2 linked regions of the Anolis sagrei genome follow. The protein of the gene in region 1 purifies or fractionates together with the protein of each later gene. This does not show direct contact. Links are inferred from orthologs where the notes say so. Each region holds a gene or a part of one and is shown in the gene's direction. Other genes may lie near its edges.

Region 1 (7,445 bases):
TTTTAAAATATACTGGTTATTTCTTAACCACATAGTCCAAATCATGTTGTATAAATGTTTTGCTAATGTATATAAACTTTTTTTAAAAAAAAACACAAACAAACTTGCATCATGAATTGTTTCAGGTTTCCATTCTGTGAAAAAAAATTAAGCTACAACATTTGAACAGAGACCGGTTACTCTGCCATTCATTATGACAACATCCCTGTCCTTTTTTGTCCACCTACATAGTTTCTGTTTATGTTCCTCAGTAGGAATGTACTTTTATTAGTCCATAACCATCTGTTTCATTCATTTCATTACTGTCTTTAGATTATAGCTAAGTGGTGTGAGCTCCAGGAACGGTTGCTGTGTAAACTCATTAATTGTAATTGGATTTGTGTGTAATTCTCACATAAGACTTCAGGGTTTTAATCAGTAGCCACTCACAGCAGAGACAGCAAAAAGTGGGCCACATCAAGATTCAAAAAACATCATAGTCAGAATCCTTGTTTTTTCCTGGAGACTTGGGTCCATATCTGGCAAAGTATGACAAAACAAACATGTGTGCTATTTCTCAGTTGAGTGATGCTGCAAAATGCAGTATTTCAAGATCCTGAATTAGATAACCTCCAGTGGTGACATGGGTCTGTATATAAGGTGGTTGTTTGATTTATTGTGTGAGTATGAGGTATGTCACCATTGAGGGAGAAGACTGGGAATGCTGAAGTGAATGTTGATTTGTGGAAGGTTTGGGAAGGGGTATTTTTCCTGTTGGAGTAGTGTGAAGAGCTTAGCTTGTGCCTGGTGTTTGAGAATAGTATATAGAGAAATGTGTCCAAGAGGACTTTGAGAGACTAAGGTGGATGTGTTGAGTGATTAGTAAGGATCTGATTCATTTTAAGGAGAGGGGTTTCAATGTTGATTTGTGGAAGGTGGATTATTTTATCCAAATAATCTACTGTTTTATGTTAAAGGTCTGTCAATAAAGTTTTGGCCTTTGAAATAAACCTTGAGGGCTGGGTTTCAGATAAATTGTTTGTGGCAGCAGCACTGAAGGTGGAAGAATGGTGTCTCATAGGGGATAAAAGTAGCATTAATCCTCAGGATCTCTGAGGGCATGTAGACTGATCTCACAGTTGGGGACAGGCAGAAGTCCTTATGTGTTGGCAGAGGGAGGGATCACACTGTTAGCAACAAACACTGGAAGACTTCATATTTGGTGGAGAAAGTGTAAAGACTCCCACATTTGACCACAGTGGTGGCACTGTCTGAGAGAAATCCTCAGTTGACAGTGATGTCATTTTCTTATATGTGTGTCTATCTTCCAGCTATTCATCCGTCCCAACATGTTTCAGCTGGAATATATATGGGGATGGGGGAGGCTGAAACATATTGGGCTTTTTTCAAAATAATCCAGTTTGGATAACTGTCCACCTTATCACATTGAGAAATTTCCCAGTTAGGACACTTCCACCTCTTTTCAAGCATAGAGAGGCACTGACACATTGAGAAATTTCCCAGTCGTAGGGCCCACTAGGCTGACCGAAAGGTTGTTGGTTCAAATTCTGGGGAGCAAGTGAGCTCTTGCTGTTAGGCCCAGCTTCTGCTAACCTAGCAGGTTTTTTTCTCTTTTTTCATTTTTTTTTCATTTTTTCAATACTTACCTAGCAGTTTAAATACATGCAAATATGAGTATATCAATAATTAACGCTTCTGTGGGAAGGTAATGGCGCTCCATGCAGTCATGCTGGCCACATGACCTAGGAGGTGTCTACAGACAACACTGGCTCTTCGACGTAAAAATGGAGATGAACACCACCACCACCACCACCCCCCGAGTCAGACACAACTAGACTTAATGTTAGGGGAAACCTTTACTAGGGCACTTCAGCCTCTTTTCAAGCATAGAACTACTTCTGGCTGTCATGCATAGTCCTCCTGATTGAATAGAGGCAGAAGTGTCCTGAAAGGAGGGAACTCTGGCAATCAAGCTCATCACGTTGAGAAATTTCCCCCGATAGGACACTTCAGCCTCTTTTCAAGCATGGAGAGGCATGGATCTCCTCACATGTTCCAGGCTGAAAAGAGGCAGAAATGTCCTGAAAGGAGGGAACTCTGAACACGGGCCAGTAATCATGTAGCACTTTACTCCCATCTTTACAACTGAAAAACAGGTAGGATGGGAATCATCAAAAGTTTCCCATCCTGTTTCATTGCCCAACTGTCAGCAGTCTGTTGTATCATATGAGGTTTGGTGCAGAACCATAGGATCCCATGGAAAGGAATGGTTTTAACCTGGAGCACTGTCTCTTGTCTCCTCTGGGGTTTGAGGCAGAACCATTGGCTCCCATGGAAAGAACTGGTTTTAAACTGGTGTCAGTATTCTTTAATGTAAGGGGCAGGTCAAAGGATCTCTTGGTTTTTGGATGCTATTGTATCTCCTGATTTAAAAAAGAAGTCATATTGACCTTGTGATTAATGCAAGATGAATGTATTGACAGCTCTTTAAGTTTTCACTTGTGAGTCTGATGGGGAGGCAGAACTACCAAGGGAGCGATTCCCTCCCTTAAAGGGACGGTCACCCATGCTTATGCTTCTCAATATGATGAGGCTGTGCAGCACACTATCTGTGAAGCTGCCTTTGAAGTGTGTTCTGAAATGTCAGCTGGTCCAAAAACCAGAAAGACTGGAGCCTGGCTGTAACACAGCTGCTGAATTGCCAGCAGCAATAGATCACTGCCAACCGGAAGGCCATCTGCAAGGATGTTGCCCCAGATGTTTTGATGTTTTACTATCCTTGTAGGAAGCTTCTCTCATGTCCCCACATGGGGAGCTGGAGCTGACATAGGGAGCTTATCCGTGCTCCCCCCGGATTCGAACCTCCAACCTGTCTTACAGTTTTGCCGGCACAAGGATTTATCCCATTGCGCCACCGGGGTCTCCAGGAGACATGATGAGGGCCATATATAAATAAAATATGTGAGGGGAAGTCATAGGGAGGAGGGAGCAAGCTTGTTTTCTGCTGCCCTGGAGACTAGGATGCAGAACAATGGCTTCAAACAACAGGAAAGGAAATTCCACCTGAACATGAGGAAGAACTTCCTAACTGTGAGAGCTGTTCAGCAGTGGAACTCTCTGCCCCAGAGTGTGGTGGAGGCGCCTTCTTTGGAGGCTTTTAAAGAGAGGCTGGATATATTGTTGGAGGCTTTCATGGCCGGAATCACTGGGTTGTTGTAGGTTTTTTCGGGCTATATGGCCATGTTCTAGAGGCATTCTCTCCTGACGTTTCGCCTGCATCTATGGCAAGCATCCTCAGAAGTAGTGAGGCTGGGTGGCTGTGCTTTGAATGCGATTTTCCTGCTTCTTGTCCAGAGGAGGATGACTAAAAGGGTCTAGAGCAGTGGTTCTCAACCTGTGGGTCCCCAGATGTTTTTGGCTTACAACTCCCAGAAATCCCAGCCAGTTTACCAGCTGTTAGGATTTCTGGGAGTTGAAGGCCAAAAACATCTGGGGACCCCAGGTTGAGAACCACTGGTCTATTTATTTATTTAATTTTTTTTTAGCTACTTATACCCCGCCCTTCTCACCCCCAAGGGGGGACTCAGGGCGGCTTACAAAAGAAGGCACAATTCCATGCCTATGTCAAAAATACATAATACATAAAAGCAATTAAACAGTTAACAGATTAAAAACATCAATACATAACACAATAGTAAACAATCTCATGTTCAGAGTTCCATAAATCCATTCCGTTACGTCAATACCTGCCCATCATCAAGGTCTTTCCTTTAGCTGCCAGAATGTCCAAAAGCCTGGTCCCACATCCAGGTCTTCAATTTTTTTCTGAATGAGAAAAGGGAAGTCGCTAATCTAATCTCCCCGGGGAGTGATTTCCACAGGTGGGGGGGCCACTATCGAGAAGGCCCTGCTCCTCGTCCCCACCAGCCTAACTTGTGATAGAGGCGGGGTCGAGAGCAGGGCCTCCCCAGAAGATCTTAGACTCCCAGGTGGGGCGTAGAGGGAGATCCGTTGGGACAGAGCACAAGCCCCATGAGGAGCGGCTTAATGAGCTGGACATGTTTAGCCTGAAGAAGTCCAACATCAGGGGCCCACGAGGTCTCTTCCAACTCTGATTCTATCCCAAGCAAACCTTTCTTGGGAGAGACCCGTGCCTTCTGAATCAGCCTTTTCCCAGCAGCTAGCACTAGCCTTGATGACGCCAGAGTGGTCATCCATTGCTGCCGTCATAAAACACCTTCTGGGGTGGGCCTCGATCATCCTAACGGTGAAGCAACTTCCGAGGAACATGCCATTCCCGTTTCCCCCGGGAACATCAGCCTGGCCCTTTAAGCCCAGCTTGGAAGGGGGCGTGGCGAGCGCTGACGCCACGGGCGGGGCCACTATGTAGGAGGGGCGGGGTTAAGAGCCGAAGCCACGCCCCCCACTCGGTCCCGAGGAGTCCACGTGACGCCCTCTCGCCCCCGCGTCAGCTGACCTCTCAGCCGAAGCTGTGGCAGCAGCGTCGGCGGCGCGATGGACTTCTTATTGGGCAACCCTTTCAGCAGTCCGGTCGGGCAGCGCATCGGTAAGCTCCCCAACATTGGCCAGACCCCAACCCCCCCCCCCTTTTGTTTTAGCCCACTCGCCTGTGTTCTCAGTTGCGATATCACCCCTCAACCAGGGAGAATTGGAAGTGGGCGGGGCTATGATTCCGAGAAGGCGGTCTTAAGCCCGCGAGAGCCAATGGGAATTCGGAGTCCCTTTTGATGGACACCTCGCTGCTAATCAATAGGGAGCTTCCGAAGCGGCGGCTATCTGTGGGTAGCCCTTCTAAGCCAATCCTGGCAGACTGAGAGGAGCCGAGGGGAAAGTTTGCTGATTTAAAGGGGCCGCGCCCTTTTAAGAGGGAGTGGGAGTGGCATGGCCAACTTGTTCTCAAGGGGCTCCTGCAGACTTTGTTTAGAGCAGTGGTTCTCAACCTTCCTAATGCCGTGACCCCTGAATACAGTCCCTCCTGTTGTGGTGACCCCCAACCATAACATTGTTTTTGTTGCTACTTCGTAACAGTCATTTTACTATTGTTCTAAATCATAATGTAAATATCAGATATGCAGGATGTATTGTCATTCACTGGAGCAAACTGGGCACAAATACCCTATGCACCCACATGTAAATGCTAGTGGGGTCGGGGGAGGATTAATTTTGTAATTTGGGAGTTGTAGTTGCTGAGATTTATAGTTCACCTGTAATCAAAGAGCATTCTGAACTCCACCAGCGATGGATTTGAACCTAATTTGCCACACAGAACTGCCATGACCAACGGAAAACACTGGAAGGGTTTGGTGGGTATTGACCTTGAGTTTGGGAGTTGTAGTTCACCTACATCCAGAGAGCACTGTGGACTCAAACAATAATGGATCTGGACCAAACTTGGCACAAATACTCAAAATGCACAAATGTGAACACTGGTGGAACCTGGGGAAAATAGACCTTGACTTTTGGGAGTTGTAGTTGCTGGGATTTATAGTTCATTACAATCAAAGAACATTCTGAACTCCACCAACGATAAAATTGGCTCAAACTTCCTATATGGAATCCCCATGACCATCAGAAAATAGTCTTTGGTGACCCCTCTGACACCCCTTCATGACCCACTCAGGGGTCCCGACCCCCAGGTTGAGAAACACTGGTTAAGGGAGTCTGCAGTTTTCCAGCAGAAAGGGAAAAAAATCTCTTTAGTCATATGTATGAACTTCCTGACTGTGAGATCCATTCAGCAGTGGAACTCTCTGCCCTGGAGTGTGGTGGAGGCTCCTTCTTTGGAAACTTTTAAACAGAGGCTGGATGGCCATCTGTCGGGGGTGCTTTCAATGCAATTTTCCTACTTCTTGGCAGTGGGTTGGACTGGATGGCCCATGAGGTCTCTCCCAACTCTATGATTCTTTGTATCCAAATTATGTATGCATTAGGACAGCCTATGTTGGGTTGCTGTGAGCTTTCCAGGCTGTATGGTCATGTTCCAGAAGCATTCTCTCCTGATGTTTCGCCTATTCTATCCGATTCTATCATTCTATCCGATGATTCTATCATTCTGTATATCCAAATTATGTATGCATTAGGACAGCCTATATTGGGTTGCTGTGAACTTTCCAGGCTGTATGGTCATGTTCCAGAAGCATTCTCTCCTGACATTTCGCCTACATCTGTGGCAAACATCCTCAGAGGTTGTGACCTTTTTGAATTCAACCTCTAGGTATTGGATGCTGTCATGAGCACCAGCATTCTCCTTCACAACCTGTGCGGATGCCTGCCATAGATGCAGGTGAAACATCAGGAGAGAATGCTTCTGGAACATGGCCATACAGCCCGAGAAACCCACAGAAACCCAGTGATTCCGGCCATGAAAGCCTTCGGCAATACACAGCCTATATTCATTATATCCATTTACTGAGAAGGCTAAAGGTCTGTGCTAATTTGCTTTTTGAAGCTTTTACTGTACCTTGTATAGAGCTGTCATTATTACCTCGGGTGCATCTGTAATTAATATAATTTGACATCATTTTAACGGCCATGTCTCAACACTATGGAATTTTTTGAGTTGTAGTTTTACGAGATCTTTCACTTTTTCTTCCAAATGGTGCTGGTGCCTCACCAAACTATTACTTCCAGGGTTCCATAGCATTGATCCCGGCAGTCAAAGTGGTCTCAGATTGTATTAATTCTACAGTGTAGATATAGGGAGGACTATAAAGACCTCTGGAGGAGGGGAGTTTTTTTTTTGTTTTTTTTTTTTGGAGCGTGGATAAGGAAAACTCTGGATACTGTATGGCGTTATGGTTTTGGTGTAGAAGGCAGCCATGAATTAACCCAAATCCTAGTGTCCTAAGGCCCTACAATTGAGAGCTTCTTCCCTATATTTGCGTTTTCAACCCAAACTAGGCAGTAGCTTAGACGCAGCTGAAGTAGCATGTGTCGCAACAATTTTTTTTTGCCTCCTAGGACCCAGAATATCAAGGCAGACATTCACACCTTCAATTAATAACATTTTGTTTCCTTGGCAGAGAAGAATCTGTTAAAGAGATAATGTGGGATTTTATTCATCTGTGCGGAAGGGGCCCTAGTTAAACAGGCAGAGCTTCTTGCCTTGTTCGGTGGTGCACTTTGAGCCACCAAGGTAAAGGTAAAGGTTTCCCCTTGACATTAAGTCTAGTCATGTCAGACTCTGGGGGGTGATGCTCATCTCCATTTCTAAGCCAAAGAGCTGGCGTTGTCCATAGACACCTCCTAGATCATGTGGCTGGCATTACTGCGTGGAACGCTGTTACCTTCCTGCTGGAGTGGTAACTATTGATCTAATTATATTTGAATGTTTTCAAACTGCTGTGTTGGCAGAAGCTGGGGTTAACAGCGAGAGCTCACCCTGCTCCCCAGATTTGAACCACCAATTTAACCCCCTGCGCCAT
Region 2 (7,953 bases), on another chromosome or scaffold:
GCACTCGCCGAGCTCAGGCGGTGTTGAATTTCGGTGTCAATGTTGACTTTGGTGGAGAGGTGGCTGCCAAGGTAGCGGAAATGGTCAACATTTTCTAATGTTACACCACGAAGCTGTATTTCTGGCATTGGAGAGGGGTTGGCCGGTGACTGCTGGAAGACCACTTTGGTTTTCTCAATGTTCAATGACAGGCCAAGCTTCTCGTATGCTTCTGCAAAGGTGTTTAGAGTGGCTTGTAGGTCTTCTTCTGAATGGGCACAGATGACGTTGTCATCAGCATACTGGAGTTCTATAACAGATGTTGTTGTAACCTTGGTTTTGGCTTTCAGTCTGCTGAGGTTAAATAGCTTGCCATCTGTCCGATAGATTATTTCCACTCTGGTGGGAAGCTTCCCATCAACAAGATGGAGTATTGTAGCGATGAAGATGGAAAATAAGGTTGGGGCAATAACACATCCCTGTTTGACACCTGATTCCACCTGAAATTGGTCACTTTGGGAGAAGCTGGGGCTGACAGGAGGAGCTCATCCTGCTCCCAGGATTCGAACTGCCGACTTTTCGATCTGCAAGATCAGCCATAGGGTAGATTAATGATTAATGTTAGTTATTTTGTGTGTGTGAAGTAATATAGATTGTATCTGTATATACATTTGTGTGTGTGTTTTAAGAAAACTGAAACAATGTCGTTCACAAAGCTCATGCAAAGTGTGTTGTAGGAAAGGAGGGAATATATTTTGCAAATGTTAAGAATACCCAGAGACTTCTGACAGAAGGGATTTCTTTCCATGTATGGATGTAACTTTGCAAAGCGTGCTAATGGATGCTAAAAATACCAGCACAGGCTTTATTAGCTACCGCACTACAATGGCAGAAGTCTCCACTCTCCAACAGCTGGAGAAAAGCTATAGCTGGCTCATACCTGAATGGAGCAGTGGGGAAAATGTAGCGGTGAGATTCCCCCATTGTCAAGAGCCAAGGGGATGCTTTCCATAGAAAAAGGCCCAGGTGCACAACTGAATGGTTGGCAGTTCAAATCTGGGCAGTTCAAGTCTGTCAGCTCCAGCTTCTCATGCGGAAATGAGAGAAGCCTCCCATAGGATGGTAACACATCCGGGTGTTCCCTGGGCAACGTCTCTGCAGAAGGCCAATTCTCCCAGCCCGGGAAACTCACAGCAACACACTCGGTTTCAAGCTTTAGGTGCTCTTACTGCCTATTAAAGGGAAAACCAGCTGATCCCTAATCCATCTAAAACACAGACATGTTTTAGTGGATGAGGGATTGGAGGACATCCAACCCCAAATTGGGAAAGAAGTCATCCAGGAATACCTGGCCGCTCTTAATGAGTTCAAGTCCCCAGGGCCAGATCAACTACACCCCAGAGTATTGAAGGAACTAGCGGAAGTCATTTCGGAACCATTGGCAACCATCTTTGAGAGTTCTTGGAGAACGGGAGAAGTTCCAGCAGATTGAAGGAGGGCCAATGTGGTCCCAACCTTCAAGAAGGGAAAAAAGGACGACCCAAACAACTACCAATGTCCGGTCAGCCTCACGTCGATACCGGGCAAGATTCTGGAAAAGATTGTTAAGGAAGCGGTCTGCAAACACTTAGAAACAAATGCACTCATCGCTAATAGTCAACATGGATTTATCAAAAACAAGTCATGCCAGACTCATCTGATCTCTTTCTTCGATAGAGCTACAAGCTGGGTAGATGCGGGGAATGCCGTGGATGTAGCGTACCTGGATTTCAGTAAGGCCTTCGACAAGGTCCCCCATGACCTTCTGGCAAGGAAACTAGTCCAATGTGGGCTAGGCAAAACTACGGTGAGGTGGATCTGTAATTGGTTAAGTGGACGAACACAGAGAGTGCTCACTAATGCTTCCTCTTCATCTTGGAAAGAAGTGACAAGTGGAGTGCCGCAGGGTTCGATCCTGGGCCCGGTCCTGTTCAACATCTTTATTAATGACTTAGATGAAAGGTTAGAAGGCAGGATCATCAAGTTTGCAGACGACACCAAATTGGGAGGGATAGCCAATAGTCCAGAGGACAGGAGCAGGATTCAAAACGATCTTGACAGATTAGAGAGATAGGCCAAAACTAACAAAATGAAGTTCAACAGTGACAAATGCAAGATACTCCACTTTGGCAGAAAAAATGAAATGCAAAGATACAGAATGGGTGACGCCTGGCTCAAGAGCAGTACGTGTGAAAAAGATCTTGGAGTCATCGTGGACAACATGAGCCAACAATGTGATGTGGTGGCAAAAAAAGCCAATGGGATTTTGGCCTGCATTAAGAGGAGCATAGTGTCTAGATCCAGGGAAGTCAATTCCGCCTTGGTTGGACCACACCTGGAATATTGGTTGGACCACACCCAGCCAGGGGCGGCTCATCCATTATGCGAAGTAAGCGGTCGCAGAACACTTTTTTGCCAGGGGTGCAGAGGTGCCTCTGTAAATGCCCCTCGACCGCCACTTGAGGAGTGCCCCCTCAGCTCACAACAGCCCTAGCAGTCTGGGGGGAGCCTTGGCTTTCTTGTCTCACTGCCGGGCGATCCTCTTCCCAAAGGGGCCGGGCCCTTGGGCCTCGCCTAGCCCCTCTTGTTCCTGCTCCGCCTGGCCACCGGGCGCGCGAGCAGAGCCGATGCTCAATCATTCTCCGCGTTCGATCCCTTCCCCATGACCGGTTCCCTTTCCTGATCCCCCGGCGTTCCACCCGCCTCCTCTCCTCTCCCCAATCCGCAGGTGGGCCAAGGGGTGGAGCCTCCATGCCTGGCCTGCTTCGGGTCTGGAGGCGTGTCTGAAGACCCCAGCGTGCGCACCAAAAGTCGCCTCTTCTCCTGACTTTCTCTTCAGCCATTGGGACCAAGAGAGAGAGAGAGACCCTCCGGCTGGAGGTATCTCCCACCTCCGCTCCCTCCTTTGTTTTTGCACCTACCTTCAGGAAAGGTGGGCATCTCCACCTCTCTCTCTCTCTCTCTCTCTCTTGGTCCCAATGGCTGAGGAGAAAGTCAGGAGAAGAGGTGACTTTTGGTGCACACGCTGGGGTCTTCAGGCACGCCTCCGGACCCAAAGCGGGCCAGGCAAGGGAGCAAGTGCGGCAAGTATAGTTACTGGGATGTATAGTTCACCTACAATCAAAGAGCATTCTGAACTCCACCAATGATGGAATTGAACCAAATATGGCACACAGAACCCGGCGGTGACCAGGGGAGCATTCGCACAGCTTAGGCTCGTGCGCCAGCTGCGCCCGTGCCTTGGGAAGTCTGACTTGGCCACAGTAGTCCATGCTCTGGTTACATCCCGTTTAGACTACTGCAACGCTCTCTGCGTGGGGTTGCCTTTGAAGACGGCCCGGAAGCTTCAATTGGTCCAACGTGCGGCAGCCATGATACTAACAGGAGCGGGACGCAGGGAGCATACAACACCCTTGTTGTACCAGCTCCACTGGCTGCCGATTTCCTACCGGGATCAATTCAAGGTGCTGGCGTTGGCCTATAAAGCCTTAAACGGTTCCGGCCCAAGATACCTATCCGACCGCACCTCGACCTATGAGCCCACCAGGACTTTGAGATTTTCCGGGGAGGCCCTGCTCTCGATCCCGCCTGCTTCACAAACACGGCTGGCGGGGACGAGAGATAGGGCCTTCTCGGTGGTGGCTCCTCGGCTGCAGAACACCCTTCCTGTGGACATTATACTGGCTCCATCCTTGATGATATTCCGCAGAAAATTAAAGACTTGGTTGTTCAAGAAGGCGTTTGAACAAGAAGTGCAATGATTGGTAATGATAATAGGAATGGAACAACGGAAAATGATACTGGATTGTGATTAGGACTATGAGACGACGCTGAATGGCTTTCGTAGTAACGACGATGTTTTGTATAATGCTGGATTGTGAATTGTGTTTTTTATACTGTGTCTTGAATTTTGTTCTTGCTATGTTGTACACCGCTGTGAGTCGCCCCCGGGCTGAGAACAGCGGTATAGAAGCAAAGTAAATAAATAAATAAATAAACTCCCACGATGAATAGAAAATATATATCAATGATTGGTTGTGGGGGGGGGGGGGGCGCCAAAATACTGTTTGCTTACTGTAGAAAATTACCTAGGGTCACCTCTGTAGAATCACAGAATTATAGAGTTGGAAGAGACCTCATGGGCCATCCAGTCCAAACCCATTCTGCCAAGAAGCAGGAATATTGCATTTAGATCACCCCTGACAGATGGCCATCCAGCCTCTGTTTAAAAGCTTCCAAAGAAGGAGCCTCCACCACACTCCGGGGCAGAGAGTTCCAATGCTGAACAGCTCTCACAGTCAGGAAGTTCTTCCTCATGTTCAGATGGAATCTCCTCTCTTGTAGTTTGAAGCCATTGTTCCGCGTCCTAGTCTCCAAGGAAGCAGAAAACAAGCTTGCTCCCTCCTCCCTGTGGCTTCCTCTCACATATTTATACATGGCTATCATATCTCCTCTCAGCCTTCTCTTCTTCAGGCTAAACATGCTCAGTTCCTTAAGCCGCTCCTCATAGGGCTTGTTCTCCAGACCCTTGATCATTTTAGTCGCCCTCCTCTGGACACATTCCAGCTTGTCAATATCCCTCTTGAATTGTGATGCCCAGAATTGGACACAGTATTCCAGATGTGGTCTAACCAAAGCAGAATAGAGGGGTAGCATTACTTCCTTAGATCTAGACACTAGGCTCCTATTGATGCAGGCCAAAATCTTCTTCTACTTCCATGCATTGCTTATTTAGAAATAGTTCCTTATCTCTTCTGGCTAACCTCTGGAATTGCGCATGTAACTGGGCATATCTCCCCTTTTCACTGTTTCCTTTTGCTTTCCTCCTTCCAACTCTAGGATTCTCTGATTCGATGCCACTGGTGGCCCATAGCCTTCCTTCCTTCCTGTAGGGAGGGGTGTGTTCCAGGTGCAGTTCAAGGGATTGGCCACTAGGGCTGTGCTTTGAGAAGGGAAGGGGAAGGGGAAGGAAGGGGGAGAAGAGCAGGAGCAGAGCCTGGAGCCCAGATCCTGCCTGGCCTCAGCCCTTCTCCGCCTTGGAGGGTTTGCGCTGGATCCCTGAGAAAGTGGGCTCTTCCAGCACCCCCTCAAAGGAGAGACAGCACCCCGAAAGGAGGTAAAGAAGGGCGAGGGAGGAAAGGGAAAAGGGAGGAAGCATGCCAGGGCGGGCGGGTCTTCCTCGCAGAGCCATCTGCAAGCCTTTCTCTCCTCCAAAGAGATCAGCCTCTAAGCCTTGTGTTATCTTCTACCCGCCTCGGGTTAAGCGTTGGATCTGGGGATTTGTTTGTTTTGATTTGGGGGTGGGGGTGGGGGTGGGGGGGGTGCCCCGAATTATTTCACCTTATCCGCTTCCCTTTGTGTGGCTTCCTACGTCCTCCCCCCCCCTTCCTCTCTCCTTGGTTGTTTTCCAAGGCGCCTGTTGGCTTCCCTTTCCTCTTTGGAAGCAGTGGGGAGGACCCCCTTCATTCCCAGCACCCCACATAACTGCTCTGGTGGGATATTCAAGGGGAGAGGGGCGTGTGGAGGGGAGAAAGGTAGGTGGAGGTGGGCTCTTTCTTGGATCCCTCTGGGATCACACATTCCCTGAACCTTTCCACTGGGAGGGAAGGCAAGCAGGACTTCCCCTTCCCTCCTCCTCCTCTTCCTCCTCCTCCAGTTGGGAAGCCATGCTTAGTAAATAGGGGGAAAATGTGATTAATTATCCGTCAAAGTATTTATTGTGTATTTATTCTAGCTCCAGCAGACAAGAGTTCTTTCTCCCACCCTGGTCATTCCACAGATATATAAACCCACTTTCCTACTTCCAGCAGACCTCACTACCTCTGAGGATGCTTGCCATAGGTGCAGGCGAAACGTCAGGAGAGAATGCCTCTAGAACATGGCCATATAGCCTGAAAAAACCTACAACAACCCACAATTTATTGTGTTGTCGAAGGCTTTTGTGGCAAGGATCACTGGGTTGCGGTGAGCTTTCCAGGCTGTCTTGCCATGTTCCAGAAGCATTCTCTCCTGACGTTTCGCACACCTCTATGGCAGGCATCCTCAGAGGTTGTGAGGTCAGATGGAAACGAGGCAAGGGAAGTTTAGATGTCCAGGGTGGGAAAAAGAACACTTATCTGTTGGAGGCAAGTGGGAATGTTGTAATCAGTCAACTTGATTGGCACTGAATAGCCTTGCAGCTTCAAAGCCTGGCTGCTTCCAGCCTGGGAGAATCCTTTGTAGGGAGATGGGAGAAAGAACTCTTTTGTCTGTTTGAGGCAAGTGGGAATGTTGCAGTGGGCCGCCTTGATTAGCACTGAATAGCCTTGCAGCTTCAAAGCCTGGCTGCTTCCTGCCTGGGACAATCCTTTGTAGGGAGATGGGAGAAAGAACTCTTGTCTGTTCGAGGCAAGTGGGAATGTTGCAGTTGATCACCTTGATTAGCACTGAATAGCCTTGCAGCTTCAAAGCCTGGCTGCTTCTTGCCGGGGGAAATTCTTTGTTGGGAGGTGGGAGAAAGAACTCTTGTCTGTTTAGGCAAGTGGGAATGTTGCAGTTGATCACCATGATTAGCACTGAATATCCTTGCAGCTGGAGGAATCCTTTGTTGGGAGGTGGGAGACAGAACTCTTGTCTGTAAAGCTTTCATGGCCGGAATCACCGGGTTGTTGTAAGTTTTTCGGGCTGTATGGCCATGTTCCAGAAGCGTTCTCTCCTGATGCTTCGCCTGCATCTATAGCAGTCATCCTTACAACCTCTGAGGATGCCTGCCATAGATGCAGGCAAAATGTCAGGAGAGAATGCTTCTGGAACATGGCCATACAGCCTGAAAATTTACAACCCAGAACTCTTTTGGGGCAAGTGGGAATGTTGTAATTGATCACCTTGATTAGCATTGTATAGCCTTCCAGCTTCAAAGCCTGGCTGCTTCCTGCCTGTGGGAATCCTTTGTTGGGAGGTGGGAGAAAGAACTCTTGTCTGTAAAACTTTCATGGCTGGAATCACCGGGTTGTTATAAGTTTTTTGGGCTGTATGGCCATGTTCCAGAAGCATTCTCTCCTGATGTTTCACCTGCATCTGTAGCAGGCATCCTTATAGGTTGTGAGGATCTCACAACCTCTGAGGATGCCTGCCATAGATGCAGGCGAAATGTCAGGAGAGAATGCTTCTGGAACATGGCCATACAGCCTGAAAAATTGACAATCCAGAACTCTTTTGGGGCAAGTGGGAATGTTGTAATTGATCACCTTGATTAGCATTGTATAGCCTTGCAGCTTCAAAGCCTGGCCGCTTTCTGCCTGGGGGAATCCTTTGTTGGGAGGTGGGAGAATGAACTCTTGTCTGTTTGAGGCAAGTAGAATGTTGCAATTGATCACCATGGTTAGCATTGAATAGTCTTGAAGCCTGGAGAGTCGTGAAGGATCATCAAAGGCCATCAGGAAGCACAATATTTTATGTTGGTCATGGGGGTTCTCTGTGGGAAGTTTGGCCCAATTCCATCATTGGTAGAGTTCAGGATGTTCTTTGTTGTAGATGAACTATAAATCCCAGCAAACTACAACTCCCAAATGTCAAGGTGTATTTCCCCCAAACCCCACCAGTGTTCACATTTGGGCATCTTGAGTATTTGTGCCAAGATGGGGCAGATCCATCATTGTTTGAATCCACAGTGCTCTCTGGATGGAAGTGAACTACAATTCCCAAACTCAAGGTCAATGCCCACCAAACCCATCCAGTATTTTCTGTTGATCATGGGAGTTCTGAGCCCCTGGTGGCTCAGTGGGTTAAACCCCTGTGTCGGCAGGACTGAAGACCAACAGGTCGCAGGTTCGAATCCGGGGAGAGGTGGATGAGCTCCCTCTGTCAGCTCCAGCTCCCCAAGCGGGGACATGAGATAAGCCTCCCACAAGGATGATAAAAACATCAAATCATCCGGGTGTCCCCTGGGCACCGTCC

The links. Proteins that work in one complex are often made in the same cells at the same time.
Region 2: the proteins of TOM1 (region 1) and CUEDC1 purify together in Homo sapiens (co-immunoprecipitation; 3 studies listed by BioGRID and IntAct, with this or other methods). This does not show direct contact. The link is inferred for Anolis sagrei from reciprocal best matches to the Homo sapiens genes TOM1 and CUEDC1.

Annotation. Positions count from the first base shown.
Region 1 is NC_090025.1:167,402,519-167,409,963, reverse strand, and holds the start of TOM1 (target of Myb1 membrane trafficking protein), read left to right. Parts: upstream 1-4,431; 5' UTR 4,432-4,515; coding exon 4,516-4,567; intron 4,568-7,445.
Region 2 is NC_090031.1:19,588,246-19,596,198, forward strand, and holds the start of CUEDC1 (CUE domain-containing protein 1), read left to right. Parts: upstream 1-4,952; 5' UTR 4,953-5,134; intron 5,135-7,953.